4 linked regions of the Tamandua tetradactyla genome follow. The protein of the gene in region 2 purifies or fractionates together with the protein of the main gene of each other region. This does not show direct contact. Links are inferred from orthologs where the notes say so. Each region holds a gene or a part of one and is shown on either strand. Other genes may lie near its edges.

Evidence for each region.
Region 1: the proteins of KPNA1 (region 2) and ALKBH5 purify together in Homo sapiens (co-immunoprecipitation; 3 studies listed by BioGRID and IntAct, with this or other methods). This does not show direct contact. The link is inferred for Tamandua tetradactyla from reciprocal best matches to the Homo sapiens genes KPNA1 and ALKBH5.
Region 3: the proteins of KPNA1 (region 2) and USP1 purify together in Homo sapiens (co-immunoprecipitation; 6 studies listed by BioGRID and IntAct, with this or other methods). This does not show direct contact. The link is inferred for Tamandua tetradactyla from reciprocal best matches to the Homo sapiens genes KPNA1 and USP1.
Region 4: the proteins of KPNA1 (region 2) and CDKN2AIP purify together in Homo sapiens (co-immunoprecipitation; 4 studies listed by BioGRID and IntAct, with this or other methods). This does not show direct contact. The link is inferred for Tamandua tetradactyla from reciprocal best matches to the Homo sapiens genes KPNA1 and CDKN2AIP.

Annotation. Positions count from the first base shown.
Region 1 is NC_135332.1:1,831,829-1,839,759, reverse strand, and holds the start of ALKBH5 (RNA demethylase ALKBH5), read right to left. Parts: upstream 3,355-7,931; 5' UTR 2,464-3,354; coding exon 1,694-2,463; intron 1-1,693.
Region 2 is NC_135336.1:22,986,946-22,995,227, reverse strand, and holds the start of KPNA1 (importin subunit alpha-5), read right to left. Parts: upstream 3,484-8,282; 5' UTR 3,296-3,483; intron 1-3,295. UniProt on the Homo sapiens protein: Functions in nuclear protein import as an adapter protein for nuclear receptor KPNB1. Binds specifically and directly to substrates containing either a simple or bipartite NLS motif.
Region 3 is NC_135328.1:157,562,240-157,569,690, reverse strand, and holds the start of USP1 (ubiquitin carboxyl-terminal hydrolase 1), read left to right. Parts: upstream 1-4,281; 5' UTR 4,282-4,432; exon of another isoform or gene 4,433-4,935; intron 4,936-7,392; 5' UTR 7,393-7,451. UniProt on the Homo sapiens protein: Negative regulator of DNA damage repair which specifically deubiquitinates monoubiquitinated FANCD2. Also involved in PCNA-mediated translesion synthesis (TLS) by deubiquitinating monoubiquitinated PCNA.
Region 4 is NC_135352.1:29,459,197-29,467,392, reverse strand, and holds CDKN2AIP (CDKN2A-interacting protein), read left to right. Parts: upstream 1-4,832; 5' UTR 4,833-4,999; coding exon 5,000-5,271; intron 5,272-5,716; coding exon 5,717-5,847; intron 5,848-6,273; coding exon 6,274-7,604; 3' UTR 7,605-8,095; downstream 8,096-8,196. UniProt on the Homo sapiens protein: Regulates DNA damage response in a dose-dependent manner through a number of signaling pathways involved in cell proliferation, apoptosis and senescence.

The sequences.
Region 1 (7,931 bases), on a different chromosome or scaffold from region 2:
GATGCAATCCTGTTGCTGATCGCTAACAGACCAGCATTTTAAGAACTTAGAACTCCTGCTCTTCAGTACAAAAGTGAGTGCTCTGCAGGGTGGGGGTCCCTCAAATTCACACATGCCTCTCCCCATCTCCCCATTACACACCTGATCACTGCTACAGTTCCCAACCACTATCCTGAGGGTGGAAAATTAATATTCCGTTAAGAAACCAAACAGTCCTTGTGTGAGCTCCTCTTAGCATCAACAGCCCTGCGATGCAGTCAGACGCCAAGATGCCTGACAAAGCTAGCCACTGGGAGGGTCTGTCCTGGGAATCCCACCCTAATGAGGTCTGCCAAGACACGGACTTGGGACGCAGACATGAGGGAAGGGCTCTGAAGCCTGAATGACTGGTAAGTGGCCCTCGAGCTCCTGAGGTGGACATCTGCCGTGTTTCAGAGGCATAAGGAAGCCTAAGTGCTGCCTCTGCTGCCACCAACTTTCCATTAGGAGGCCTCAGACATCACAGGTTCTGCTGCCAGCCCGACAGGAAAGCAGCCTCGGCTGCCCAACTCAAAGGAGATCGAGGACCTGCCCCCAGTATCAAGAAGGCTCCAGGGACCGCTTCTCCCCACAGGGCCCACTGAACTGACAGTACTTCAGAGGTTAAGCTGCTCAGAACAGATCCCCAGTGTGTCCTGATCCTGTACTTTAATTCCGTGGTCAACCATGCCACTCTGAACAGCTGCAGTCTAGTCCTCCTAAGAGGTTTGGGGGATTACTTAAGTATGCTCCTAGTTTACCTGTTTCAGGGCTGGAATAAGGCAACAGCTTTCAAATAAATTTTCTGCTTCATTTAACCAAAGAAAGGTGTTCCCAGAAAGCATTCTTTTTCTTGGGCCAGGACCGAGCTAATTCTCTGCAGGGTCTGGGACCCCAAATAGACCAGGAAACCAAGTTCTGTTACCGACATAACTGTCAGGCCAAAAAAACAGCTATTTTGTTTTAGTCGGTCCTGACTAAATGGAACCCATTTTTATGAAGGACCTTATAGGTTGTTCCACAGCCAAGGGGGTAGAATTCTTTAAATATACTCAACCCTACCTATTCCTGGCCCAACCACTGCTTTGTGGGATTCCAGGAAAGTAACTTCCTCTCTTGGGAGAGGAGACTGTGCAGCAATTAAGCCCTCTCAGGGAACCTCACCTGGGAGTATTTTCTCTGCTAAGGAATCCATGAGCATTTTCTCTGTTAAAAAGACAAAGAATGGTAACATCTGAAAGACTTTCGGATCGTAAGCGTGACTCGCCTGTTGTTTAAAATACAACACAGATTTGGAAGTGGAGGCCCAAGCATGGAAAAGTGGCTTGCCTAGAAAAAAAAAATCACACACGAAAAGAAATTTGTTAGCCTTCTGATATCCAGTCAGGCTGACTTCTGGAAAGATGACTTTGGATGAATTCTCAGTCTGGTCCAGGACTGTGTCAAACCTGCCTCGGGGATATAGAACTCTAGATCGGGTCCCTGACCAGGCTTTCTGGTCAGGGCCTCTGGCCGTGGCCATTCCCCATCACCTACAAACAGAAGAACTTAGAATGGATCAGGACCGTGATCGCAAGCCTGGGCTCCGAATGGCTGCTGCTGCAGCCTCCCGGGACAGAGGGCGGGGAGCTAGGGCAGAAGGTACGAGGCAGCCCCCTCCTCCCAGGTAGGTTACCTGAGCACAGTCACGCTCCCCCTACGCACGGGCAGGGAAAGCACAGGTTCTGACACCCGAATAGGCTTGAACTGGAACTTGCAGCCGAAGCAGAGCGCGGAGTCGCTGAAGAAGGACACGGACACGATGGGGCGCTCGAAGATGTGGATGGGATCTACGTGGGACACGATGCAGCCGCCGGGCTGGTAGTCGTTGATGACGGCGCTGTTGACGAAGCCCTCGGGGATGACGCGGTGCTCCACCAGCTTCTGGATCACCAGCTGGTGAACCCACTCGGGGATCTCATCCACGTCGCCCGGCGGGTAGAGGCGCTCCTGGCCGGGCCCGCGCTTCTGCAGCTGGGCGCCGTACGTGTAGCCCTCGCCGAAGAAGTACTTGTTGCGCAGCGGGGCCCGGTCCACCGTGTGCTCGTTGTACAACCCCTTCTCGGCGCGGGACACCACCTCGTCGATGCGGGCCTCGATCTTGGCGCACTCGTCCTGGCTGAAGAGGCGCATCTGGCGGATGCCGCTCTTCACCTTCCGCGCCTCCTCTTCCTTTTGCAGCTGCTGCTCCTCGTAGTCGCTGCGCTCGGGGTCCGAGTCCTCCGGGTACTTGCGCTTGGCCCCGGGTGCCGGGTAGGGCTCGGCCGCGGCCGCGGCGGCGGCAGCAGCGGCCACAGCGGCAGCGGCAGCGGCGGCCGCCTCCCGGCTGCCTGCCTTGTAGTTGTCTCGGGACGTCATGGACTTCAGCTTCTCCCGAAGGTCCGTGTAGCCGCTGGCGGCCGCCATGGCCCCCGCGCCGCTGCTCTAGGGTCCTCCGCGGCGGGCGGGGCGGCCGGGCATGGCCCTTGGGGGACGCGCCCCGGCACCCCCGGAGGGGAGGGGGTCCTCAGCGCCGGGCCCCCATGCGTGGCCGGAGGAGCCGGCGGGGGACGTCGAGGGGAGCCGAGCGCGGGACCAGGCCTCAGGGGCAGCGGGTCAGGCAGCGGTGGCGGCCGCTGGTCTTCCTCCGCCGCCGCCTTCTTCTCCGCGTCCCGGGGGGCAGGGGCGCCGGCAGCGCCTCATGCCGCGGGGGACCGCCGCGGGGACTCGGACCGACTCCCGGCCGGACCCTCAGACGCCCGGCCCGGCCTGCACTTTAAAGCGCTCCTCAAGACGTCACGGGCCGGCCGCCCGCCCTACGTCCGCCAGCGCCGCTCCTCAGCGGGTTCCTCCGAGCGCACGCGCAGAGCCACCAGCCACCGCGGCTCCGCGCGTTACGGACATGCGCAGGCGGGAGGACCCAGCCGGCCGAGAGACCCGCGCAGGCGCAGAGGGGGAGGCGGGCCCCCCGAGCGACGTCCGCCGCCCCTCCCCCACTCGCCGAGGGGCTTCGGGGAAGCACCCGCCAACAGCAGCCTGTCTCGACGCCGCGACGCCTCCAGGGCCTAGGGGCTCCCTCCGCAGGGGTGCGCTCACGCGTTCGACGCCTCCGCTGGACCGTGTCAAGGCATCGCCCGAGTACCCGTAATCGCCTCAGCCCTCAGCGCGCAATCACCGGGGAACCGCCACAACCTACGCTGCCCCGTGACCGCCCCCTTTGGCGCCTCCACTTCTTTAATTGGGTCTCCAGCCCCGCGTCGGGCGGGCCCAGACGGGAACTCCCGGAAGTCGGTTGGTAAGGATGCCTGTCAATCGGTCGGTCGCCTTGGTTACCACGTCAATCACTTAATCGGCGGCGGAGGAGGGCGGCGAGGACCCCTGAAGGGCGAACGGGTGGCTAAGTAAGTGCCTGAATGGAGAACCCCCGGAGGGAAGCCCCCCTACGCTTAAGGAAACTTTTGAAACCAGCGGAAACTTCTCAAACTGCGGGACCGGGAGCACTGGGCCCAGCTCCAGACCTAGATGGCGGCGGTCATCGAAACTGGCCACGCATTGTCCGGGGTGCCCCTCCTGCCGCCGCCTCGGCTGCGGGAAGCGAACGTTCTACGAGTCACGTCCCGGGGGCGGCGGGCGCGCGCGGCGCGGGGGCGCGCCTGGGCTGGGGGCGGGGCGGGAGCGGGAGGCTCGCGGAGCAGCCAAGCCGGGGCGGGTCACGGTAGCCGGCGGAGAAGCAGCGCAGCTGCGCGGCCGTGGCGGCCGGAGCCCCCTACCCTCTTCCCGACCCTGCCCTTTGTCCGCGCGCCGTCTGCCGCAGGGTCGCCGGCCGCCTTCCAGCCCCCGCCTCCGAAGCTCCTCCTGCCGTCCCAGGCGAATCGGCCGGTAACCACTTCCGCGGCTGTTTGGGTGCCCCCCGCCCCAAACAAAGCACCGACCCTAGAAGCGGAGAGTCGGAGTCGTGGGGGTGGGGGGTTCGGCCTCTCGACGGGCTGTAAGACCCCGAGCAAATGATTTCCTCTCCCTGCGCCTCAGGCTCCTGGTCTGAGAAACGGGAGTGACCCTAGTTCCCATCCCCCATGGTGAAAGGGGTCTATTAAGCGGGGTGCATCGCGGACCTTGGTTCTGGGCCTCAGTTTCCCCATCTGTAAACTGAGGGTCCCCCGGTCTCTGTCGGCAGTGGGAGTTGTACGGTGCCTTGTCAAGGCCAGGCAAGTGAGTGGCGAAGCCCAGACCCCTGGGACTGTGGCCACTGCCCCAGCTTCCCCTCTCTCCCAAAAAGCAGCCACATCAGGTGCAGGGGGAAATGCTGCAGGTATGGAACTTGCAGTGAAATTAGCTCCTCCCTTTTTCTGGTGCAGCCTGGGAACGGACAGACCGGGAGAGAAAGGTAGCTGCATCCGCAGGCACAGGTCCTTCAGAAGCCCAGCGCCCACCTCCCCTCTAAACTGCCCTCCCACAGGGTGCACCAGACTCTGCTCGCTTACTTCCTTGGCATCCTCCCAGAGCCCCTACGAAGCCCGCTGAGCTTATCCAGGCACAAATGGGAATTGCCTCCTCTCTAGGTTGACAGCCCCTCCCATCCCAGGATCCCCACTGGAAGTTTCTGTGTGTCCTTCCCGCACAGCGCAGACTCTGGAGCCAGCTGCCTGGGTTTAAACCCTTGCTGATGCATGTACTGGCTGTGTGGTCTTGGGGAATTCCGCCTTCTTGCGCCTCAGTTTCCTGTATATAAAATGGTAAGAACGATAATATCTACCTCACTGGGATGTTTTGAGGATAAAATGGGTTAGTACTTGTACAGTACAGTGCCTAGCAGGTGGTAAAAATAAGAATTAGCTTTTTAAAAATGTCTCTCCCACCCCCACCCCAGACATCCACTTGCATCACCTGCCAGACATAATGACCACTTAGCACAAGCCTTAAAGTGTCTATCAGTGCTTCCCCTTTATAAAGAAAGAAGCACAGCTCAGAGAGGACAAGCAACTTGCCCAAAACTACACAGCTAATCAGCAAACAAAGGTGGGATCTTCCCTGTCTCTGCAGCCTGGGCCTTCATCACCAAAGCAGGATTCCCTTAAGAGGCTGTGGGTCCTGCGTAGGAGGACGCGCCCTGGGCGGGGGAAGGTGTGGGGGGCAAGTATGTGGACAGTGGATCCCAGCAGATCCCAGCCCCTATCCCACGTGGAGGAAGCAGTATGGTCCTTCCTGTTTTGTTTTGTTTTTTTTAACTTAATTTTGAAATAATTTCAAACTTACAGGACAGTTGCAAAAATAATACTGAAACAATGCAGAGAAATCCAATACCTTTCGTACCCAGATTTACCAACATTTAACTTTTTGCCGCATTTGTTATATCACTCTATGTCATAAACATTTGAAAGTAGGTTGCGTGCATCAGGCTCCCTGAATACTTAGTAATTCTGTGCATATTTATTTCTTTTTCTTTTCTTTTTTTTGGGGGTGGGGTGGGGTTCATGGCCCAGAATAATTCTGTGTGTATTTCCAAACAAAGATCATTTACTTATATAACCACCTTAAGCACAGTTATCAAATTCAGGAAATTTAACATTGACATAAAGTGCACAGTCTATATTCCAAGTTTTTCAGCTGTCCCAGTATTGTCCTCTTGGGCATTTTCTCCAGTTTTAGATCAGTTCAGGATCATGTGTTGTCATCTCTTTAGTCTTTCCCTCTCTTTTAAATTGTGGTAACATACAATGTAAACTTTCTGTTCTTAACCACTCTCAAGTATACCACTCGCTGGGATGAATCCATTCTCCATGTTGTGCTGCCCTTGCCACCATCATTTCCATAACTTTCTCACCACTTCAAACAGTAATCCTGCACTCTTTATGCACTAGCCCCATATTTCCCTTCCCCACCTCCCTGGAGACATATAGAATCGACTTCCTGTTTCCATGAAGATGCTTTTTGAATGACTTCATTTGAAGGTCTCATACAATCCCTCTGTCTTATTTTATTCAACACGTATCTTCCAGGTTCACCCATGTTGTAGATTGTGTCAGAACTCGGTTCCTTTTTAAGGCTGAGTCATATTCCAGAGTATGGATAGACCACGTTTTTTATCCATTCACCTGCTGATGGACACTTGGGTTGCTTCCACCTTTAGCTCTTGTGAATAATCCTGCTCTGAACATTGGGTTCAAATACTGTTCTAGTCTCTGCTTTTAATTCTCTTGGGTATGTACCTGGAAATGGGATTGCCAGGTTACATGGTACTTCTGTACTTTGTGAGGAACAGCTAAACTGTTTTCCACAGCAGCTGTTCTATTTAACTTTCCCACCAGCAGTGCATGAGGGTTCCTATTTCTCCACATCCTCGCCAACACTTGTTATTTTCCGTTTCATGAATAGTAGCCATTCTAGTGGGTGTGAAGTGGTATCTCATTGTGGTTTTGATTTGCACTTCCCTAATGGCTGATGATATTGAACATCTTTTTGTATGCTTGTTGGCTGTTTATATTTCTTTGGTGAAACGTCTAATCAAGTCTTTGGCCCTCCTTTTTTTGTGATGCAATTTTGTTGAGATATATTCACACACCATATAAACATCCAAAGTATATAATCAGTGGCTCACAGTATCATCACATAGTTGTGCATTCATCACCATGATCAGTTTTAGAACATTTTCATTACTCCAGAAAAAGAAATAAAAATAAAAAGTATACCCAAAACATCCCATACTCCTTACCTCCTTCCTGTTATTGACCCCTAGTATTGGTGTGGTCCATGTCTAACTGTTGATGAAAGAATATTAAGATATACTGTTAACTATGGTCCATAGTTTGCGGTAGGTACATTTCTTCCTTGTTCATTGCTGGTATCTAGAACACCCCTGTTTCCTGGGTTTTAATCTTGTGCCCTGCCACTTTGTTGAACTCACTCATCAGCTTTAGTAGCTTTCTTAAAGTTTCTTTGGGATTTTCTGTATAACAGGATCATGCGATTTATAAATAGGGATACTTTTACTTCTTACCTTCCAAATTGGATACCTTTTCTTTCTTTTTCTTGACTAGCTTCTGTAGCTAACACTTCTATGACAATACTGAATTGCAAAGTGAAAGCAGGCATCTCAATCTTCCTTCCCTTTCAGGGAAGCGTTGGGTTTTTCACCATTGCGTATGTTTGCTGTTTTTCATAGGTGCTTTATCATGTTGAGGAAGTTCTTTCTATTCCTAACTTTCTGAGTGTATTCATCAACAAAGGTGTTGGTTTTTGTCAAATGTCTTCTCTGCATCAATCGAGAAAATAGTGTGGGTTTTTTCCTTCATCCCGTTAATGTGGTATATTACATTGATTTTCTTACGTTGAACCACCCTTGAAATGCTGGGAGAAGTCCCACTTGATCATGTTGTATAATCGTTTTAATGTGCTGTTGGACTTGCTTTGCTACAGTTTTGTGGCGGATTTTTGTGTGTGTATTCATAAGGGATACTCGTATATCATTTTTTCTGCTTGTGATATCTTTAATCGGACTTCAGGATCTAGGTAAGCATGGCCTTACAGAAAGAGTTAGGAAGTGTCTCTCTTCAATTTATTTGAAGATGCTATGGTAGTTTGAAACTGAATGGACCTCAGAAGATTATGTTCTTAAAGTTAATCTATTCCTGTGGGTTTGAACCTATTGTAGGGGGGACCTTTTGATTAGGTTATTTCAGCGGAGGCGGGCCCCAGGTGATTCTTAATCCTCTTACTGGAGTCCTTCATGAGAGGACGAAATGCAGAGAGAAGGACACAGAAGCTGAGAGAAGGACACAGAAACAGAGGAAGCCCCCAAAGCCTGGAAGCAGTGAAACCTGGAAGAGAAGGGAGAGACAGCAGATGCTGCCACGTGACAGGAGAAGCCCAGAATCACTGGCAGCCTGTGTTGAGGAAGA
Region 2 (8,282 bases):
TACATATATAATCAGAGTATCTATCAACCACAATGGAGTGGGTGCCTATGGGAAAGGACAATGAAAGCAGGGCTCAGAAAAGAAAGAAAAACAATTTTAAAACAACTTGTACTGGCTAATGACAGCATGTCAAGAACTGAAAGGCATAATTAACTCTAAAATTCTTTCTACCTGAGATTCAGAAGAAAACATAATAAAAGAAATATCCCAGAACTAAAGGCTATAAATTCCCCTCTTGTAAGGGCCCATGGAGTTCACTTAACTGAACAAAGACCCATACCAAGGCACATCACCATGAAATTTCAGGGGTTAAAAAAAAAAATTCCTAAAAACTTGGGAGGAGGTCACTTACCAATAAAGAAGAAATACAATGGCTTTGGCTTTCAACAGAAGCCAGAAAATAACAGTGCTATAACTTCAAAACTTTGAATAAAAATAACTTTTAGACTAGAATCTTATGTGATGAATAAGCAGACTTATTCTTGTACACGAAGGGCAGCATTATTCTTGTTATGTGAAGATAATCCCCGTCATCCACATGCTGGATTACTGGCTGCTTTCAAGAACTGTCCCAGTTAGTCTACAACAATAGAACTATTTTTTCACTTAGGTTTGTTTTCTAGGGTTGTACTATCTTAGAAATAACAACAACTGTATATCCCATCAGACTTTATCCAGGCTTTTTCACTGACCTCAAAATTTTCTATTGCAGGCTTTTTCTGACCCCCATCCTGCCCCCACTCCCACCCAGATGACTTAGGACAACCTCCTACTCACTGCAGCAAGACAAGAGTGAAATCGCCCCAAATCAGCTAATTTAACTGTTTACCTTTTCCAATGTTTTCTCCATTTTTATGGCTGAATTCATAATACCCTAAAAAGTACAGAAAGCTCTTACAACAAAATAAAAAGGAAAATGAGATTTTTTTAGTTTGTTTGGTTTTTTCTCTTTACAAGAGATTTTTAAATTCACTAAATAATCTTTATTTGCATGACCAACCAAAAGTCATAACTGCACAGTATTTATATTCTTTTAAAAAAAATTGATGGACTTACAAAGGCAGAGACATCACAAAAAATGATCAAGACTTTATTTTTTCATTAATTCAACACTGCTAAAATGCTGGAGACAAAAAGATAATTCTTATCTTGAAATGAAAGGGAAAAGATAAAATATGGAAGAGCAAAAGAGAACAAAGAACAAAACAACTGAGCACAATTCTAGACTATTTAGCATAAAGTAAGTTATAATATAGTTGAGGCTAAGGAAAATTACAAAAACTGAACACAAGTTAGCTCTGATGAGCCTCCTGAAAGCCAAAGTATAAAAAGAAGCAGGATGACTTACAAAACAATCATGCTCTAATAAAAAGCAGTTATTTGCTTAAAACAAAGAAAAAGTCCTAGCACTACACTCTTTAGATGTTGTCTCTAAGGTCCCTATTTTATAAGAAGTAAATTAGAAACAGTATCTTGGACAGCAATGGAACAAGATTTTTTCCGTGTTGTCCCTTCTTATATACCCAATCCTAGGTAAAAATCAAGGTGCAAAATATTAATAGTTCTGTGAAGAAATGTTGACAAGAAGCTAAAGTAACATAATGCAAAAAGTATAATGATTTCAAGTGATGGGTTTATTTCTGTCATTGGGTTTATTCTAGGTTTCTACAAATGTAATATTTTGTTTCCCTGCTGGACTCTAAGCTTCTCAAGGCTTATGTTGTCTGCTTCCATTTAATAATATGTCATGCAGATATTATTTGTATTGCTAGTCTTCCCTGCTACACTGTAAATGCAATGAGGACAGGGACAATATGTCTTGATCAGGACTATATCCCCAGCTCCGAGCAAAGAATCACTCCATAGTATTTGCTGAATGGATTAAAAAAAGAAAACACAACCAAGAAGTATGTAAGCAGAGGGGTAGGTCTTAAAATGGCAGTGATTTGGGGTGGTAAAACTGGTTCCAACAAAAGCTGGTTGACCTTAAGTAAGTTAATTTCTCTGACATACAATGTTTTCATCTGTAAAATAGGAAAAGTTAGTATATCATCTATTTCAGAGTTATTACAAGCATTAAATACGTAAATAAAATATGTAAGGTATTATAAGCATTAAATATGTAAATAAAAGATGTAAAAAAAAAAGCTCAATAAATATTAATTCCTGTACTTTCTCTCAAGACCTCCATCTTAAAATCATCAGTACCTTCCAAGAATAATTTTTTTTCAATAAAAGCCCAATACAGCACATTCGCACTTTTCTCTGGGAAAGAAAACAAAAAAAAACAAAATTTTATCTCTTTAATCTTTAAAATGGGAGGAGGGTGGAACAACTTCTGGTTATTTTCAAAATATTACAAAAGCAAGAACAATGTAAAGAATTAATCTTGAAACAACTACTGCTAAGAAATAGGGGGTTGGGGGAACCGTCAATTTTTTTTTTAAAGGATGAAAAGCTATTAATACAATTTAACACTTTTAGAAAAATATTTTGCAATTGCTTCTAAGTTTAAGCCTTACCCTTTCCTTTATAAGTGGAACATTAAGTACATTCACTCCACCCTAAGTCGTTCCTTCGTGACATGACAACTTCCCCGACTCCACTCGTCCCTCAGTTTTCTCCTCACATTCTGAGCTTAATCTTATACTTCGCTGTTTCCCCCGTTTCACCACTTACATACGATATGAACACACGAAGTTCTGTAATTCCTATAATTACCACACCCCTGTCAGCCGCTTCAGGCCCATGTTGTTATGACATTTGTAAACTGCAGTCCCGCTCACCCCACCCCAACCTCCGGCTCCGGCTATAACTTGTGAATTCCCAAGATGGTCCCTTCCTGTCTCGGTGAGGATTTTTACACGCCACCCCGACACTTTCCTGCCTCTGTCACAGTACTCTGCGGCGCCCACCCCCGCCCCTCGCCGGCTCGCGCCCAGCCGCGGCGCAAGCTCCGCGCGCGCCTACTCCCCGCCCCGCTGACTCTGCGCCCCGCAGTCCCCGTGCCGCTTCCAGCTCCGCGGCCGCGCCGCCCCGCCTCGACCGGCGCTCCTGACGGCGATCACACTAGCACTCCCCACCCCCACCCTCCCCTCAGCCGGCCGCGCGGCCGTTAGGACAGCCGGGCTCGTGACGCACGGACACGCCAGGAGTGCCCGGCCTCAGAGACCCGAGCTCGAGACCCAGCCGGCGCCCGACCTCGTCCCCGGGCCTCACCCGGGTCCCTACGAGAACTGCCCGGGTTCGCCTGCGGGAGGGGGAGGGGCCGGGACTACAGGGTCCCCGCACTCACCAGGCTCAAGGCAACCGATCCCGGTGCCAGTGGTGGAGCCGCACGCTCGCCGGCCGTGCCTCTCCTGCGCAACCCTGAGGAGCTGGTCTCGCGCCTCAGCGGTGCTCACCAGGCCTCTCTCTCCGCCGCCGCGCACCGAGGAGCAAGACCCTGATCAGCCGGCGTTCGCAGCGCGCTTGCGTGAAGGGACCAGCCCACGCGCCTGCGCGGGTCCCACCACTTCCACCGCTGCAGAGGCTGCCGGGAGATGTAGTCTGCCTAAGATCTTACTTGACCCACCACGCCATTAGTCCCGAATCAGTACGGAGTTGGGGGTCCGGGAAGGATCTCGCTGAGGACGAGGTTTGTAGTCAATGGAAAAGGTTGGAGAATCGTAGAAGAGTGACAGTGAGACGGTACTTCTTACGCGGAATTGCAAAATCATGTTTACAAACCTGTCTTCACTAAGCTCTTCGAAGGGCGGATAGAGCCCCACTCACTCCTTTATATCTAGCCTCCAACATGGTAGATACCTAATACATGTTTACTGTACGAATGATGGAATGATTGAAGCACGGGGGAGTATTTTAAAAATATTAAAAGTGAGTGGCCTCACGTCTAAGAAGGCGTTCGCTTGCTGCACGTTTGCAGGAATTGTGGATTCCATTTTTAATTCTCTTCCATCCTCTTTACCTGATAATGTATGAATAAATGATTTGTTTTTTAAATTAAGAAACTAAGTGAAACAAAACACTGGTTTTACTCTCACTAAGTACTCTCAAGCGATAATTTGAGGCAAATAATTATTAGTTAAATGTGGGGAAGCAGTGGCTCCAAAAGAAAAAATGAAGCCACCTCAGCAGAGGTACGAAATAGAAAGTCTCACAGATGACGTGGTTTATCAAATCAATTTTATGGAAACGCCGAGAAACTAAGGAAAAGAGATGGATGGTGTAGGTTAGCACACTTATAAGTGGTAGAGGGTGGGCACTGGGGAAACCTGCACTATCTGCGGTTCGTATGTCCAGGACAACGTCCGTATCTCCCGGATCTGTCTCTGCCACGTGAGCCTTCCCACTGACAATATATTTACGTAGATAAGAACTGAAGTTTGAACAAGGGAGCTGGGGCAAGACAACGTGTTCTATGGGAGACACTTAGGGATTTGTATGCCTGCTCAAACTAGGGTAAGAGCAGATCACCTTATTCCAGTCAGATACTTGGATTGTTCAAAGGTGGACTTCAGTCTTTGTGAAGGCTAGTTCATTTCCAGTTCGCTCTTACACCCAGCTATGGTATAGCTCCCAAGTGTTGCAACCAAACGTCTGGGGTATTACCAGGGCCTCTCCTTGGCCCCACATACCCACCTCTTTAAAACAGCTCAAAACTCAGTTTTTTGGTCACTTCTTTCAAAATTAGTAGGCACATCAAGTGGAAAAGAGGTGGCAAATGTCAGACACACCTCTCATGACTTCCCTTTACTTCAGATTTTGGACCCACAATTTTTTACATTAGTAGCTTTTCAGTGCCTTTATGTTTTTTCTTTTAAACTTTTTTTTTAATATAACATGCATACAAACGAAAGAAAAGCAATGATTTTCAAAGTACGCTTCAACAAGTAGTTACAGAACAAATTTCAGTGTTTGTTATGGTTTACCATTCCACTATTTCAGATTTTTCCTTCTAGCAGCTCCAAAACACTGGAAGCTAGAAGAAACCACCCCCTTTTCTTTCTTTTTTTTTTTTTTTTTTGTGAAAAATAACATATAAACAAAAAAGCAATAAATTTCAAAGTACGTTGCAACAGTTAGTCGTAGAACAAATTTCAGAGTGTGGTATGGGTTACAATATCGCAATTTTAGGTTTTTACTGCTAGCTGCTCTAAGATACTGGAGACTAAAAGAAATAACAATATTTTAATTCAGCAATCATACTCATTGGTTAAACCTGACCTCTGTATAACTCCATCATCACCTTTGACCTATCTCCCACTCCTTAGGGATATTTGGGCTATGCCCATTCTAACTTTTTCATGTTGGAAGGGGCTGTCAATAATATGGGATGGGGGATGGAACTAGTTGATGTTCTGGAGATGCTGGCCCCTCTGCATATCAGGACTTATCTTGTCCAGGGACCTATCTGGAAGTTGTAGGTTTCTGGAAAGTTACCCTAGTGCTTGGAAGCTTTGTAGAATCTTATATAATGCCCTAGGTATTCTTTAGGATTGCTGGAATGTTTTGGGTTGGGGGTTGGCAAGGTATGGTAGGCAGCAATGTCTAAACTGAAGTTTGCATAAGAGTGGCCTCCAGAAGTAGGTCACTATTTGAACTCTCTCAGCCACTCATACCTTATTTGTTCCACTTCTTTTCCCTTTTTTGGTCAGGATGGCATTGTTGATCCCACAATACCACGGCCAGACTCATGCTGGCAGGAAGACTTTCACCCCTGGATGTCATGTCCCACTTGGGGGCAGGGTGGGGGATCAATGATTTCACTTGCAGAGTTAGGCTTAGAGAGAGAAAGGTCACATCTAAGCAACAAAACACCTTTGGAGGTGACTCTTAGGCATACCTATAGATAGGTTAAGTTTCTCCACTACATACATAAGTTTCACAAGAGCAAGCCTCAAGATCAAGGGCTTGGCCTATTGATTTGGGTGTCCCTACTGTTTGACACAGTATCAGGGGTTTTCCTGGTGGTAAAGTTTAATAGTTTCATATTTTTTCTCTCATCCCTCAGGGGACTTTGCCAATACTTTTGATCATCTGCTTAATATACTCTGGGATGTATCCAGGCATTACATTAAGCTATACAGGATTAAAGGCCCTCATTCTTATCCTGGGCTCCCTCTGTTGGATTGTTTAAATGATCTATCCAGACAGGTTGAGTTAGATTATGTGCTTCGGAAAATTTAGGTTCTGGACAAAATAAACCTTTCTTCGTTTGGTCTCAAAGAGTAGATGAGGTTCTAAAGTATAGACAATGTCTTCCTTACCCCTGTATTCTGAATTACCTTAATCCTGACCTGATCGGCTTCATTCTAATCTCTAAATACCAGGTTATACATATATAAAACAGCTTCTCAAAATCCAGAAATAGTAATTACCACTCTAGACTAAATGTAACTTCTATAAGAGCTTACAATCTAGACCCCTGTTTCCTTACAAACCTTAATGTTTTTATATTGTGTCCAGTTATTCTCAGTGTTGGTCCAAAACAACAGTATGCTATTGCTAGAAGAATTTCTATATATATTTTAATTTTACAAAAGTATCATACATATATGGTCTTACATAAACTACTATCTCTTGTACTATATCTTTTTGCATTTTGAGAAACTGAAAAATTATAGAACACTTTTGCTATTACAAATAATGCTGCTATGAACATTCTTATACATCCCTACTTATGTACAAGGAAAGTACCAGATCCTAGAATATTACGTCTTTAACTTTATTAGATGTGTTATACAGAATTCTGAGGTGGTCCCCAATTACTCCAGCTCCTGGTGTTGCCTTTTATAATCCTCAGGTTTTGAGTGAGAACCAGACAAAGATGATGGGATGTCACTCCTGTGATTACATTTCACTGTGTAACACTTTGCCTTAGCAGATTGCTTGAGACTTTCCTGCTGGCCTTAAAGAAACAATCTGCACTGCCATGGAGAAGACCACATAGCAGGGACCCAGGTCACTGGGTCCTCAGGGAAGCCTCCAGCTGGCAACCAGTAAGAAGCTGGAGACCTCATTCATACAACCACAAGGAAATGAGTTCCGCAAACAACCTGAGCGCTTGAAAGCAGATTCTTCACTGGTCAAGCCTTCAGATGAAAACACAATCAAGCCATCACTTTGACTGCAACCTTGAGGGACCCTCAGCAGAGGACTCAGCTAAGCTGCATATGGACTTCTGATATACAAAAACTGTGAAATAATAAATGTGTTTAAGCCACTAAATTTGTGGCAGTTTGATACACAGCAGTAGAAAACAAATGCATTAGGTATTGCTGGATTATTTCACAGTGTGGTTGTACCAATTTATACTCCCACAAGCAATATATGATTGTCTATGATTGTCTTTTCTACACATTCTTGCTGACACTAGCAAATGTCTATTTTTATTTTTGCCAATCTGATGGCAGAATAAATAATACATTTGTGTTATTACTATAACATAAAAACATGAAAAATAGTTGCTTCCTTTAAATTATGTGCTACTTTGCTATATGAATGCTATTTAAAAAATAGCAATAGGACTAGTTAAATGTAGTAACTAGAAGGGCTAATTAAGTAAATAATATATGTGACAAAAATATAACAATTTTTATAGTTTGTCCTATTGTATAGCAATTTAATTCTTTATTGCTTATTTAAATTTTGTAGGTATATTATTATGTATTCTTAATATATATAAGTGTAATACTTTTAAAAAGAGTGTAAATATAATAGAGCTAATTTAACAGATATTACCTATATTTAATAAAAAATAACAATGGCATGTTTCTATCCCATGAGGCAGTGGGATATTTTTGCTCTTTCTGTTTTCTTTTCCATTAATACTTCTCTGAACTGCTCAGAGCCTTTAGGACATCATTATTTTCTTTTATGTATCAGTAAAACTGAATACAGTCAAATGAAAAATTTTGACTTGCAGCTCTTCTCTAATGGCTACATTGTACTGATTCTGATGTCAAGACAGCAAGCTAAATATGCTCACCACAAAGGTGTTAGAACACAGAATACTTAGGATTTTACTTACTTATACAGCAGATTTATAAACTTGAAGGAATTAGTCTCCAGCTCTTCAAAATGTTCAGCCACTTTGTATGTAAAAGCTTGCTTTATCAAACCCGATGTTTGTCAATCAGATCCTTTACATCTATAAATTATAAATTAATGTAGCCTATCTGTGTCTAAAATTCCCATCACTCTGAAGGACACTGAATGTCAACCTCTCTTCCCCAGGGAAAATGATTTTGAAGCAAAAAGGTAATCAGAACTTGTAAAAT
Region 3 (7,451 bases), on a different chromosome or scaffold from region 2:
GCCTCGTGTGGTGGGGGCACCAGCCGCCGTGGCCTAAGGGGACCGCCTGTCCAATTCTACCAGCTGGCCTGGGAAGGTGGAAGGGAGGGACTCCGGTCGCTTGCCGTCCCACCCAGGAAAGCCCGTGCCCCTTGGTGATCTCACCGGAGCTGGTTCTCCCAGATAGTCAGCCGTTCCAGGATGGGGTACGCTGTCCCTTTGATCTCCCTCGTGGCTCCGGGAGCTGCTCTGTATTATCTCCACTCCCCCAGTAGCTGTTCTGGAGGAGGAAAGGTGAGGGCAGCAAGGCTGTCGAGGCTGGTGGCGGAGGAGCACGATGAAGGCGGGGGAAGAGGGCACCGTGGTGGTTGGAGAGCAGCCGGAGCAGGAGGGGGAGGAGGGGGGGGAAGGAGGTCGGGCGGCTCGGCTGCTGCGGGGCGTGGGCGCCGCGCGGCGGGCCGGCGGAGAAAGAGAGGGGGGGAGGAGGTCGGGCGGCTCGGCTGCTGCGGGGCGTGGGCGCTGCGCGGCGGGCCGGCGGAGAAAGAGAAGGGGGGAGGAGGTCGGGCGGCTTGGCTGCTGCGGGGCGTGGGCGCCGCGCGGCGGGCCGGCGGAGAAAGAGGGGGGGGGAGGAGGTCAGGCGGCTCGGCTGCTGCGGGGCGTGGGCGCCGCGCGGCGGGCCGGCGGAGAAAGAGAGGGGGGGAGGAGGTCGGGCGGCTGTGTTGTGTTTTTGATGTAAACTTTGTAATTCCAAATCTTGGAAACTTTTAATTAAATGTTTAAGTTCAAAGGTAATACAATGTATGATAAAGCTAATTTATAAGAGTATTTTTTACTATGGAAAATTCCTTATTTAATGTCAAATTAAAAATTTCTTTTAAAATGAACTTTAATTTTTTTAACATGATTTTGATCTGACGGGTATGATAAAACTGGGAATACAAATTGGGGATATTTTATTATTTGCAAAGAGTCAGATTTGCTTCCTAAAGGTAAAGTAGTGGAAATATTCTGCCATGGGATTTGCTTTGGCAAAAGGTTCAGAGATACAGGTAGACACTTGGTATACATTTGTGCACTGAGACTTGCCCTCTTGGAATGCCTCTACTGTCTCCATGTGAAGAAGATGGATTTAGACTTCTTGAGGAATGGATGACTACATTGTATGTGAATATATATGCCGATAAAAAACAACTTAAAAAAAGATCAAAGTGGAAGGTGGAGTTATAACAGAGAAGATAGGATTTAACAAATGAGCATGACTCCTGGATCATTATATTGATATTTCTTTTAGTCTCCAGTGTCTTGGAGCAGCCAGAAGGAAAAACCTAGAATTGTGGAATTGTAGCCCATACCAAATTCTGAAATCTGCTCTATAACTAATTGTGGTGTGCTTTGAAATGTATCGCTTTTTTATATATGTTATTTTTCACAATAAAAAAAAGTAAAAAAAAAAAAAAAAAAAAAACCCATGAGTGTAGAATGATATTCAAGAGTAAGAATTCATTTTTTCCTCAAAAAATTTTATTCAGTTAAGAAAAATATTGTAAACTTAATTGTAGATGTATTCTCAAGATGGATCAAGCATACAAAGGACAACAGAGTGTTAATGGGATGAGAAAGACAAGACTCTCTTCCCATGGAATATAAACAGGTTTATGAGACTTCCTGCTACTCCCTCATCACCCACCCACTTACCGGACATTCATCTACTAAATTGTTAATAAACATTAAGGAAGTGGGGCAAGACATTCCGTTCAGAGGCATGAAAGACCCTCCCACCTGAACCTGCAGTTTATAGATCTTACCCTTTCAACAGACTATATGTGGAGATACTACCCACCCTTTTTTAAAATTTAATTATTGGGTCATGGTTTCACCAGTTGTTTAGAGTCTGATTGTTGCTAAAAATGCTGGATGAAGGCCAAGGGCTCACATATCTAGTCTTCCTTTAACTCGGACCTAAAAAACAGTGAGGGTCAAAAGAATTGTCACCCTGACCCAAAATAATTCCACTCCAGTGAGCTTATTGGCTCTGACCTTTTCTAGGGAATGAAATAAGAAAAAAATTTATTCACAGTTTTATTTTTAAGTATTTTGCTTTTTTTCCAGTTACACTTGCACGTGATTTAAAGATTCAAAGATTCCAACAAGACTTCCCATTTCCTAAAGGCAACCACTTTAACTTTTAGCTGATTCTTTGCAATTTCCCTCCACGTTTCTAAACACCTTGTTCATGTTTCTATTGCTTGATGTTTTGGTTAGTGGTTATCTATTGACTTCTCAGTTTGGAAAATGATTCATCTCTCTTTTGCACACTCCTCTTCCCCATCTCCACTACACTTGTACACTTTGTCCTTTAATTTTTCTGATATACTTAAACCATATTTTGCATACCCTACCCAATCAGCATGATGTCATTGATATAATGGATCATTGCGATGCTCTGCGGATGTCCAGAAGGTTCATATCCTTTTCAAGCTATTTTACCATAGAGGGAAGGAGTTTTAACAGCCCGCGGGCAAAACTGGAAATAAGTATTTTTGCCTGTTCAGTGGGAAGCCAACTCTCTCTGATCCTTTCTTATGTATGGAATAGAAAAGAATACATTTGCAAAATCACTCATGCATACCGAATACCTGAAGCTGTGTTCCGCATTTCAGTAAGGATCAACCACTACTCAATTGCTCCGGTAAACAAAAACAAAAAGCAGTTTTGGTGATCTGTCTCTTTTTTTTCTCACATACCACACAGCCAATCCATCAGCAGAACTTGCGGGTTCTACTCTAAAATATATCCTGAATTTTAATTAGTTCTCAATACTTCCACTTGTTTTATTCCAAGCCAACATAACTTATCCCTGGACTAATAAAATAGCTTCCTAGCTGACATTTCTATTTCCACTCTTGAGGTTCAACAGTCTACCCATCAGAGCCACTTTGAATATGCCACTTCCCAGTTGTAAACAATCTAGTAATTCCCCATCATACTTAAAAATAAAATCATATCTCCTTACCCTATTTGTACAGAGCCTCGCCTATCTCATTCTCTTTCCTACTATTTTCTTACCCAGGTTCACTGTGCTTATCAAGGCTACTTTCTTACTCAGGCTCACTCACTGTTTCCTCCGTAGTCCCACTTAACATTCGCTCTCTTCTCAAATGTCAACTCAAAGACGTCTTGACAGACTTAAAGCAGCACGCTTTTCATCTCTTTACCCTATCGGTTGCATTATTTCCTAACATTTTAGATGGATTAATGCTTCTCTCCGTCCAATGTAAGGTTTCTTTAGAGAAGGGAATGTTAATTTACTCACTGCCGTATCCTTAACGCCTAGGAAAATGCCCGGCACTTGAGCAGGCGCCTAAAATCATACTTGATTAAATGATTTGAATTGAATTTATCCTGCTTAACAGCAGCACTTGCTTTCTGAGGTCACCTCACTTCGTTAACCATGCAAACACAGAAGGAAGCACACGGGTGAGACCTGCGTTGTCGCTTTTGAGCGCTTTGGTAGAGCTTTCGCTGAAATCCCTTGACACTCTCCTAGCTAGAGCTGGGTCTTAACATTCTCTCGCGGCGGGGAAAATGGAAGGAGTGAAAAAAAGAAAATGGGGCCTGGAGGGTGCGAAGAAGTGATCTCAGCTCTAACGATGTCCGGCTGAGAATTTACTGTTTTCAACGGCAAGGCTATGTTTATTGGGACGGCCCTGGGCCAGGGCTGCGATCCCGAAATGAAAGCCCTGGTACAGAACGACAGCAAATTGGTCAGCCATTTTCCAAAACCAGTCTGCCAGGTTACCCCGCCGACTGGGTACGCACGACAGGGGGCGGGGTTTATTGTGAGGGCCTCACTTCGGAAACCGCACCCTCAGTGGCGTCCCACGGTCCAGGATTAACAAACTGCGAAGCAAAATACAACAGTCGCAGCGAAAGCGCGCACTCGATCGCCAATGCGAGCGGAAGGAGGGAAACTGCCGCTTAGGCACACTCTGCATGTCCAATAATGATTGGCCGGAGCCCTCCTCTCTTCTTTTTTGGTATTGGCTGGACTTCCCTTCCCCGCCCATCCAATTGGTTTTTAACTAGATACTTTTGATTGGCTCCTCCTGGTGGTGGTGGGGCTAATTTTTTGTAACCCACCGTCACGGATTGGTGGATTTAAGCACCTGGCGGGTCCTTCTCGCGAAAGGGCCCGCCCCCTGGTCTCTCTGTCCTGTCTCCCGACCCGTAAGCTTTTATCCCAACTCGCGCGCCCGAATGGTTAAAAAAAAAAAAAAAAAAAAAAAAAAAAAAAGGGTGTGAGGCTCGAGCCCGCCAGCCAGGCCTCCAGCACCTCGCGCGCGCCCTCAGCGAGGACCCTCGCGAGCTGCCCTTGACTGTGCCTGCGCTGTTTCAAACTACAGAACCCGTTAGGATCTTGGGGAAACTACCGTTCCAGCTGGTTCCGGAGCCCGTGAGTGCCAGAGGGGCGAGTGGCGGTCGCGAGGTGACTCTTGCCTTTCGCGTTTATGCAGCGTGGAGACTAGAACTGGCATTTTCGAAGGACGCCGCCTTCAATAGCAGCGCTGGCGCGGGCGGGGGCTAAAACACGGGGGTCCTGAGACTGAGGAAAACGCGCCAAGTTCCCCTCTGTGGTGGAGTGGGGAAGACCCTAGCGGATCAGGGGTTTCGCAAGCGGGACCTGTTCTGCGCTCCTTTCCCTCCCAGGGCGGCCCTAGGCGGCCACCGCACTGGGGATGTAGTTGGTGCGGACGCAAAGCAGGACCGAGTGGCGGCCCAGGTTCCCGCTCTTGAGAGCGAATGGTCACTTCCCCGCGGGGAGGGCGAGCCGAACAGCCTTTCCTTGGGTCGGAGATCCAGCGGGCTCGCGGCAGGGACTCACCTGTCGCATTCAAACCCATTCGGGTTGGAATCGTCGGCGTCACCGCCGCGGACTTCGCTTTGGGTCATGACCAGGTAAGGACGGCCTGGGAAGGAGGGGCCGGTGCCCGGGCGCGGAGACAAGTTTGACTGGCGCCCGAGTGGGTCTGCTCCGGGACAGGTCCTGAGGTTTTACTGAGCTGCTAGCCAAGCCTTCAGTGCACCGGGAGGGGCGCCCCTTCCCGTCGCCGCTGGGAACTCACGAAGGCAGGTGCGGGCTGGGCATAATCAGGCCAACTCTTCTGGTGAAGGGGTCAAGCGTTTTTAAGTGAACGGTAGTGAGGGCCAAAGGCCAGCGTCCCACCTTGCCTAGTGCTTGTGCCTGAAAGGGCATAGACATCCTTTGACACGTCTCTTGTCATCTTTTCAGTGTCCTTCCTGTTCTCTAGAGTGGTGGGATAGGGAGAAGAAATGTTTTCACTCACGTTGTCCTATGGCTGTGTAATTGCCTTATTTTACCGCGCATTTTTTCCACTTCTTATTTTTTCCAGACGGGTTTAGCAAGTGACCACGTATCTGAAACCTTTGCTGAGACTATTATATATAAACTGTTATATATGTTTCTTGAAAAATAAGAATTGCGTCTGTCATCTTATAAAGAAATCAACAAAACATAACCAGTGGTACTTAGTGTTTACGCTGTCATTTGTTCAAGAACAATTAATGTTCGGTTCATTCTCTTTACTTCGAAACTTGATGTATAGTTTTAGGAGAAACATTTTAGATGGAACAACCCAGTTATAAGGAAAGCCAGGCAGCAAGATGTTATATTCTAGGTAATGCTAAGTATTTGATTATTGCTTTGAGGGAACCAGGAAGGTTGGCTTATTGATAAGGATGATGATACCTTATTTCAGATGCTTGATCATTTTTCCCTTCTATTTATTTAAAGACGATGACTTTGTTACTTAGAGAATGCAGTTTCTGTTTTGATGAAATTGGCTCCGAAGAAAATCCTTTTAAGAAAACCATTAATGTTTAGAGATCCCTGACAATTTAGCTCAGACTGGTTTGTTATATTGTAGCATTTCGTAAGTAGCATTAGGTGGTCAGGAGAATAATTTTGAGTTGGAGACAGGATGGGGAAATTGGTCAGCTGTCTAGTTCTTCGAGTTTGGGTCTCAAGAATGTGGTTTCACCATTGAGTTCAGTGTTGCAAATTCCCAGGTCAGTGGAGTGTAATGCTTACAGATGGAATTTGAATGAATTTTTTTGTGCATCTTATTAATTTGAATGTACTTTTGTAATTCGTTATTGAGGTTATGGTTTCTAAATAATTTTCTGATAATACTGCAATCACAGTTTCCCCCCAGATGCCGAAATGGAAACTTGGAATGATGTATAAAATAGTTACCATAAATGTCCCCATGCTTTTGCATATAAATGTTTTATTTTAAAACAGGAAAAGTAGGAAAGGTTGCAAAGAGAAAACCAAATCATATTTTTCCTGCTGAAAGTAGCTTTTTTAAAAAAACCATAGATTGAAAAGAGTGCTTGGAAACTGAGTAGAATATTGTGGTTTAGAACACATAAAAATTTGATATATGCAGAGTGCAAATTGTTTACACAACCTACAACTTTGCATAATTTATTACCTTTCACTGAAGTTAAGTGTAATTGAACACAAGATCTATGCCTTTTCTCATATGCAAATTATACTTTAAATATGCTTTTTAAAATCTTTATTTCATATATTAACTCACATTAACATCTGGAAAAGGCCATTGGAGGGGGGACTTGTTTATGTCCAGCACTACTTTAGAGGGCTTTAGAACTAGAGATGGTAATTGCTCAGTCAGTATTTTCTGCAGGATTTAATACATTATGAGGAAAATGTTTTTTTCTAAGTCAAATATTTTTTTTATTTTGGAAAATATTCAAACCTAGAGAATAATTGCAAGAACAGTACAATGAAGCTAGATTCAACAGTTGTCAATGTTTTGCCACATTTGTGTTCCTTGTCTCTTTATACGCATATATACATAAATGTATATACGTATTCATATACAGATTTTCATTTATTCACTTGTATATTTTACTGCTGGAATATTTTAGAGTTAAGTTACCAACATCATATTCTTGCATTTCCAAAAACTTTTAATGCTATCTCATAAAAACAAGGACATTATTTTACATACCCATAATATAATTATCGAATTCCAGAAATTTAACAGTGACACTACGCTATTTGAGGAAAATGTTTTTATTCCTTACTATTAGTTTACCATAGGTTCTACTAAATGTTGTATTTGTGATGGGGATCCTTAATCTAATAGTAGGCTGCTAGGTTCAGTATCTGATATTCAGAAAGTCTGAGGACAATATGGCAAGGTCCTTCATTTAGGCAGCAAACGTTGAGTGCCTGTTACTGCTGGGCATTAGTTTTTCATATATGAAGTTCTAACCTTGCCAGATTTGTTTTCAAAATTGGTGGTTTTGTTGCCTGCAACTGATAACTGAAATCTAATGAAGCGCTTTCTCTGTGATTAACAGATATAGTTGGTGATTCCACCTTTCCCGTAGAAATTAATTGTCAACTTTTGGGATTTGAA
Region 4 (8,196 bases), on a different chromosome or scaffold from region 2:
GGTTTCCATGTCTCTTCTGGTTTCTGATGACCCAGAGTTCCCTGGCTCTAATCTCTACCTCCATCTTCACATGGCCATCATCCCCCTGTGTCTGTGTTTCTGTGTCCAAATTTTCCTCTTCTTATGAGGATACTAGTCACATTAGACTTAAGGCTCACCTAATCCAGGATGACCTCATCTACACTTGATTACATTTCAAACACCCAATCTCCAAAGAAGGTCACATTCCGATATTCCAGGTGGACATGAATTTTGGGAGGCTACTATTCGATCCAGCACATAACCTAAGGTCTCTTCTCACCTTTTCTCTCTGAACATCTGAACAACAACTTCCCCAGGCCAGAAAGGAGTTTGAGTGGTGGGAAGGCCCTTACAAGAATATATATATATATATATATATATATATATGATATTCTTAACTTTGTGATCCATGGTCTATACCTTGAATCTTCTTATGCAATGCAAAAGTTTTAAGGAATCAAAGCAAAACAAAACAAACTCATGTACCCGACTGCCGGTGCGATGGGTGTGCCCGCCATCGAGCCCCTGACCATTGCTTTCCTTTCTCTTCGTTGTCGCAAATGCCCTGAGCTCGGTGCCAGTGGGGACCAGGAGGTGGAACTAGAAGCATTCCGTTTGATTTATGAAGGAGATGAAAGTTTCTGGGAGGTGAAAATGGTGATCCCAAAGCCTTCTTAACAGAGATTTCCTGAACAGAAACATATCCCCAAATACCTCCAATTAAATCTATGAATGCTGTTTAACAACACTATGTGAGTAGTGGTTCATTTTCATTGTTTTCTGCTTTCCCGTCCCTTTTACTTTTCTTCCGTAGTGTGTTTGTTTTCATAGTATATTAGCCCAGCTACAGGAAGCAGTTGAAGTTAATCTTGGAACTGCTATGACGTATATGTTGTTGAATATGCCAAAGACAATAAAGAACAGTTCATGGAGATACACCAACCCACTATGGTTCTGCGACAACCATAAGCAATATCATCTCAGTTGAAACTCCTAATACAGTCCCATCCAGTAAGAAAAGACAAAATAGAACAACTTGAACAACTTTCAAAAGCCCAGAAACACAAGCTGGCAGATAAAACACATCACAAAGGGGAACTTCCTCGAGAATGGAACTGGGTTGATGTGGTTAAGATATATACTATTTGTCTTCCAGTTTTCAAAAAATTGTTATAATCATTGCTATCAAATAATGAAATTTATATCTTCCATCCCACCCCTACCCTGGCCCTGCAACCTTTAGATTTTACTGGAATGTAAATCTTTCCTTTTTTATATTGAGCATTTAAACAAAACTGGTTCTAAAGATGATGAATAATGCTTGGAATTTGAGACAAGGAAAGTGCATCCTTTAAAAAAGGAAATTGGATTCAAAATCTTTGAATACTCTTTTCTGGTATTGAAGTGGCTTTTTATAAGACATTTTTTTTTTAATGTTCCTTGTGTAAAAAGCGTTGTAAGTTAAAAGTTCAGAAAACGATCTGTGTTATTTTCACAAACTTGCCTTAATAAAAGGTGAAAATGGTAGTTTAGTATACTTTATGAAGCCTGTGAAGATCTGTAACTGGACAAATATGGGGAATAATAGATAATAAGTTCTAATTTATATGACCTTATTCTAGAGGATGTGATATAGTTTTAAAGTAGTATGAAACCTTTTATAAACTCTCATCCCAATGGAGCAAAATACTGAGCAAACAGTTATTCAGCACTATGATCCATAGTGATAAGCTTTGCATCTTAAATGAAGTCTTCATCTCTTGTTTCTCTTAATTACTTAAGCATAAATTGCTTCAGAAAAATTTGCATCTCAGTATATGAACTTTATACATAATACTCTTTGAATTTCTTTTTATTTTTCAAGTATGAACTGCCTCCCTTTAGTAAGTGGATATCCGTTTATACATTTCTCTCGGTTTGGGTCAAGATGTTTAATCACGCGCTCTTTCTATCATATATGAAATAGGATAATATAAAAATAAAAAATCTGTTGAATATATTAGGAAGCATTTTGAATAGAAATGATGGTTCTTATTTAAAACATTACTCTTTGCTATATATACTATGATGGAGTAAAAGATGCCTTAATATTTAATTTTTTAGTGTTGGAGACAATGATTCTAATAAATTCCTATTTATCTGCTATTATGTTTTTAGCTGGTAAACTGAAGGCTTCTGAGTGGTTTAACAAAAAACCCACACTTCAAGTCTTGCTGCTTTTCTGAGTCTTTTTTTAACTATACAAATATATTTCTCAACCTGAGCATTTTTGTGATAATGGACATAGAAATCTTTCAAACGTTGAGTTGTAGAACCTGCTTGATTTTTGAGGAAATCATTAATAGAGGAAAATATTGGTGTATTTTTAATCTGTTAGGAAAAGTTATTGATGCTTATGTGTGATTTACAGTGATTCTGTATATGCTTCCCAGCTACAACTACACTAGAACTACTGCCGTGGTATCCAGAGAACAGAAGTGTTAGTTCCTCATGTCATGCCTGTGCAGGTTGAGTCCGAGTTTTTTAAAAAAAAAAGTAACTTATAAAGAGGTTACCTTAGCATAAGAGCAGTTCCTTGAGTTGTAGGCACAGTTTTTACTGGGCTAACATTGACTTCAGTTAAAACTTTTGAATTATAAAGTGAGTATAAATATAACAAAGAAGCTTAACCTCATTTTCAAAAGGTGAATCATAGTTTATTTCTTGAATTAATATGATAGAAACATTAAAATCAGGATCACTGGAATATGCCAACTTTCGTATTCAGTTGTGCTGTATAGGTTTTGTTATATTTAATGGTTTGCTTGCTTTTCAAAGAAACTGTAAAAGCTCACTCTAGTAGTGGAAGGAAATATTGTTTTGCTCCAAAGATTATAAAATTGTTCAGCCTTATTGTGGTTAATAAATGGTCACCAAGAATGCTAGTTAAACGCCAATGAACTGTTTTTACTCTTTTTATATGATATATATAAATTTCTGGGTGTGATGGTGGCAGTGGTGCCTTCCATTACCTTTTGTCAAACACGCATTTTCGCTGATGTTGCCATCATCTTTTTAACACTCCTGGTACAGTTTCTCAATGTCTGTTTACTTAAAATGGTTTGGAATGACAAAATTAACAAGCAATAAAATCTGAATTACCATGAAAAACAAAAAACAAACAAACAAAAAACAGGTACGTTTTCTGTCAAACACCTGGCACTTAGAAGTACTCCAGCTTTTAGACTGTATTTACTGTATTATAACTTTTAAAACTTATTTAGAAATTGCCTTAGAAGCATTTGCTCTTCCTTACAGGTGACAGAACCCCATGAATTTATGGTTAGAAGGTTATAAGGCAACAAGAAAAGAAAAATTGTTGGTTTAAAATGACAAATAGCATCCATCTATATAACCAAAAGTTATTTTACTTGTTGCCTCACCTCACACCTTGCCAAATAACTCATGAAATGAAAAACTATGAAATCCCCCCAACCTTTTACAGAGCCAGGTTTTTGCAATTCTTTCGTCCCTCTAAATTTTTAGCGATTAACAGTGAAAAGAAGGTAAGAATAGCAAAACTAGAAACAAAACCCCAAGCAATCAAAATTTCTTTGTGCCTATGTTTATAGTTTCTTTTAGAATAGCCAGAAAATGAGCAGTAGTGTTATTTCCATACAGTAAATGCATTTTGATTATTTCAGGATGCATTCAAATCACATCTTTTTAAAAAAATTTTACCTACTCTAATCCAAAGTGACCTTTTTTTCCTTGATTATTCTGATCCAGACATTTTTACAGCAAAGCCCCCCAAAAACTATGGAAAGGAAAATTTATTTTATATTCATAATTTTATCATTTATTAGATCGTATTAATTTTAAAGTACGCATATACCTATCATTGGAAACCTAACAATAATCAACTGTAAAGAACGGAGAGGAAAAAAAAATAGATACAAGAAGGGGAAAAGTTTGGGGCGGCAGAAATAAACAAGTCAAATTTCCACGCTGGTTCTTGGCTCTTTGCTCAGTTGGAGGTAACACGACTGTGGGTTTGTGCAGTTTTGTAGCTATTGAGCCAAAAAAAAAAAAAGGAAGCAGGCACTGCTTGGGTTGAGAGACCTAAAAAACTGCGGAAAGCAACCCTAACCCCTGCGGAGAAAAGGACTCCTCGGAGTAAATCGAAGTGGAGTAACATAGGAATTTTGTTACTGTTGCAGCTAATACGCACCCCCCCCATTCCTAACCCCCTCTGAGACGGGCCTCAGAACGCTTCGCTTGTGTACATCCCAAACAGTGCGAGAAGCTGCCTTCAACCATAATCAAAACATGGAGGCTAGGCTTTGTTTATTTGGGAACGGATCAAAAACAAGCGTCTTAGGGCGGAGACCCAGAGACCTCGCTTTCGTACCGCGGCTCAAGGTCGGTCAGGAAATTAAAAGAGCCTCCAGCCACACGAGGACTTCATCCTGCCCGGCCCAGGCTTTTTCGCCTCTGGTTCCGGCGGCGCGCGGGGTGGTGAAGGAAGCCGGCCGGGAGGGAGCGCGGCGTCACAAAGCCAAGCCGGAACGCGGAGGTTTCCGCAAGTGCAGGTCGCCCGGCCGAAAACCCACTCGCAGCCGGGCCTCGACGGGCGGGAGGCGCCCAGCGCCCGCCTCCCCCTGCCCCCTCCCGCCCCCGGCCCGTTGGGGCCGCGGCGTCGCGGGCGCCGCAAAGCGTCCTGGGAGAGCCGGCTCGCGCCGGAAGGACGCGCGGGCGCGCCACAGCGAGGTTATAAAAGGGACGCAGTCGGCGGCAGGCGGAAGTGGGCGGTTCAGCTGCTCCCCGCGCTGTTTTTTTTTTTTTTTTTTTTTTGGTGTTTGGTGTTTGGGCCTCCCCAGGGGCGTTCTTGGGAGGGCCGCCCGTGCAGGCCGCAGTAACAGAGCCGCTCGCCGCCGCGCACCCCGCCTCTCTCTCGGTGCAGCGTCTGCTCGCGGCCTCCGCGACCTGCAGGCCCAACATGGCGCAGGAGGTGTCGGAGTTCCTGAGCCAGAACCCGCGGGTCGCCGCCTGGGTGGAGGCGCTGCGCTGCGACGGCGAGACTGACAAACACTGGCGCCACCGCCGCGAGTTTTTGCTCCGCAACGCCGGGGACCTGGTTCCCACTGGTGGTGTGGACTCCACGAGCACGGATGAAGCTGCGGACGCCGAGAGCGGGACTCGCAATCGGCAGATGCAGCAGCTCATCTCCTTTTCCATGGCCTGGGCAAACCACGTCTTCCTCGGCTGCCGGTGAGTGGGCAAACCGCGCTAACCAGCTCCCCCACCCCACTTTTGTCTTCTATCCCCGGCCTTCAGAGGGGAGGGGAAGCGAGGCGCGAGAATCCGCGAGACCCGGCCGGCCTCGAAGGGTGAGAAGGGCGTTTCTGCGAGAAAGCAGAGGTGATTAATAGTGCATAGGTGCCCCGTCGTGTAGGGGGCTTTTTGTAGAGTTGTTGGGGTTGAGCTGACAGAGGTCTTGTGGGTGGACAATAGATTTAAAGATTTGTAAAGCGGGGCCCCCGCCTCCCGGACCATGGGGCATTTGTTTATGTGCTGTCTTTAAAAGAAACTTTCCGGCGGTTGGTACGCTTGATTGAGGCCAGGAAATGCAGTTCTTGGGGCCTGTTTTTGCACACCGGAAGTAGTAGCTTAGAAAAAAACACTTGTTAAAAGTAAACTTTTCCCTCTTTTTCAGGTACCCTCAAAAAGTTATGGATAAAATACTTAGTATGGCTGAAGGCATTAAAGTGACAGATGCTCCAATCCATACCACAAGAGACGAACTGGTTGCCAAGGTGAAGAAAAGAGGGATATCGAGTAGCAATGGTTAGCAGATCATAGATGTGAACATACATAGGAGTTTGGAACATAAGCTTAATATAATTAGGAATTATGACTTTTCTTTTTTAACAAGCCCTAATTTACATAATGTTATTAATCTTGTTGGAATGTTAAACTTAAAATATATTTGTGTTTGTTTTAGGATCTGAATTTGATAGTTCGATTGTTTTTATTTTGAAATGTCGACTATGTGTCTTATGCTGTTAATATTGAATATTAGAAATTAATAACATGTTATTCAGCACCATTTTAAGATATTAATGAAGTTATTCCACATTTCTTAAAGAAACTATTAATCTGGAAATATTTCCACCTCATACTTTCATTTTAATAAGTATCTGTCTTATAAAATTTAGCTGATATGTGTTTGGTAAAGTTTAAAACAAATCTGTATTTTTTTTTTCTTTTTAGAAGGGATAGAGGAGCCATCCAAAAAGCGAGTCATAGAAGGGAAAACCAGTTCTGCGGTTGAGCAGGATCATACAAAAACTTCTGCCAAAACAGAACATGCATCAGCTAAGCAGGAAAACAGTTCAGCTTGTACGGGGTCCTCCACCAAATCAGAGAGTAGAGGGAACTCAACTCGTGGTCAGAATAGCTCTACAAGTGATGGGGATCGATCTGGTTCCTGCCAAAGCAGCAGCAGCATTTCCTCTCAGGTAACAACAGCAGGATCTGATAAAGTTTCTGAATCAGAAGCTTCAGATAAGCATGGTTCAGCATCACTTGTTTCTTTGTTGAAATCGAATGTGAATAGTCATGTGACCCAGTCCAGTGATTCCATACAACCCAGTGTTTCACCTAAAAAGAGTGCTTTGGAAGGCTCTTCAGTCTCAGTTTCTCAAAGCAGTTCAGAGATTCAGGTACCCTTGTTGGGCTCTTCAGGAAGCTCAGAAATAGAGTTGCCACTGTTGTCTTCTAATCCTAGTTCAGAGACAGCTTCAAGTGGGTTAACTACCAAAACTAGTTCAGAGGCAAGTATTTCATCATCCGTTTCTAAAAACAGCTCCTCATCAGGCACATCCTTAATAACTTCCAAGAACAGCTCCTCAACAAATACATCGCTACTGACTTCTAAAAGCACTTCCCAGGTAGCTGCATCGCTATTAGCTTCCAAGAGCAGCTCCCAGAGCAGTGGATCTCTGGTTTCCAAAAGCACTTCCTTAGCAAGTGTATCCCAGCTGGCTTCTAAGAGTAGTTCTCAAACTAGCACATCCCAGTTGCCTTCTAAAAGTACTTCACAGTCAAGTGAGAGTTCAGTCAAATTCTCTTGTTGCAAGTTAACGAATGAAGATGTAAAACAGAAGCAGCCTTTTTTCAATAGACTGTATAAAACAGTGGCTTGGAAGTTGGTAGCTGTTGGTGGCTTTAGTCCCACTGTGAATCATGGAGAACTCCTAAATGCAGCTATTGAGGCTCTGAAAGCGACACTGGATGTGTTTTTTGTCCCACTAAAAGAACTGGCAGATTTGCCTCAGAATTTGAGTTCTCAAGAAAGTATTGTTTGTGAGTTGAGGTGCAAGTCTGTGTATTTGGGCACTGGCTGTGGAAAAAGCAAAGAAAATGCAAAAGCAGTTGCATCAAGAGAAGCATTGAAGCTATTTCTCAAGAAAAAGGTGGTGGTGAAAATATGTAAAAGAAAATATAGGGGTAGTGAAATAGAAGATTTAGTACTCCTTGATGAAGAATCAAGACCTGTAAACTTACCTCCAGCATTAAAACATCCTCAAGAATTACTATAATGTGTCTAAAAGATCACTGCATAAAATATTTAGTATTTGAAGAGAAAAACTGGCTTACTTTTGTATGATATAAAACAGGCTTTCACAGATTTTGTATTGCTTTTTTCCAGTTTTGCAGAAAATTTACATTCTAATTCTCTTCACACAATAGAAGTTGTAAATAATCTGTGAATGACAGTATACATTAAAAGGTATGCATTAACAGCATACTAGTATGCTGGTTTATTTGCTGAAGAAAATACTGTCTTCTATTTTTAATGATATTAGGTACGATGTGTAGTTCTGTAGCATCTTAAAACTTTTGTACTACTTTCAATTTGGTGAAACTATTAAGTTGTCTACCATGCTTTTTTTTAAACTGAATAAACCTTCACATTAAAGAAAAGGGGACCACAGTATTTGAATCTCTGAAAGTCTGTGAAACTTAAAAGTTTTTAGAATGTTGCATATATGTTGAACATGTCTGTTAAAGAATAAAAGAAAAAATAGTTGCCTCAGACTATTTTTGTGAGAAGTTGTAAGCATTTTTAGATATAAAGCAGTATAAAGTACTTGGATGTTATTTTATTCTAAAGTAGTTAAAAATTCACCA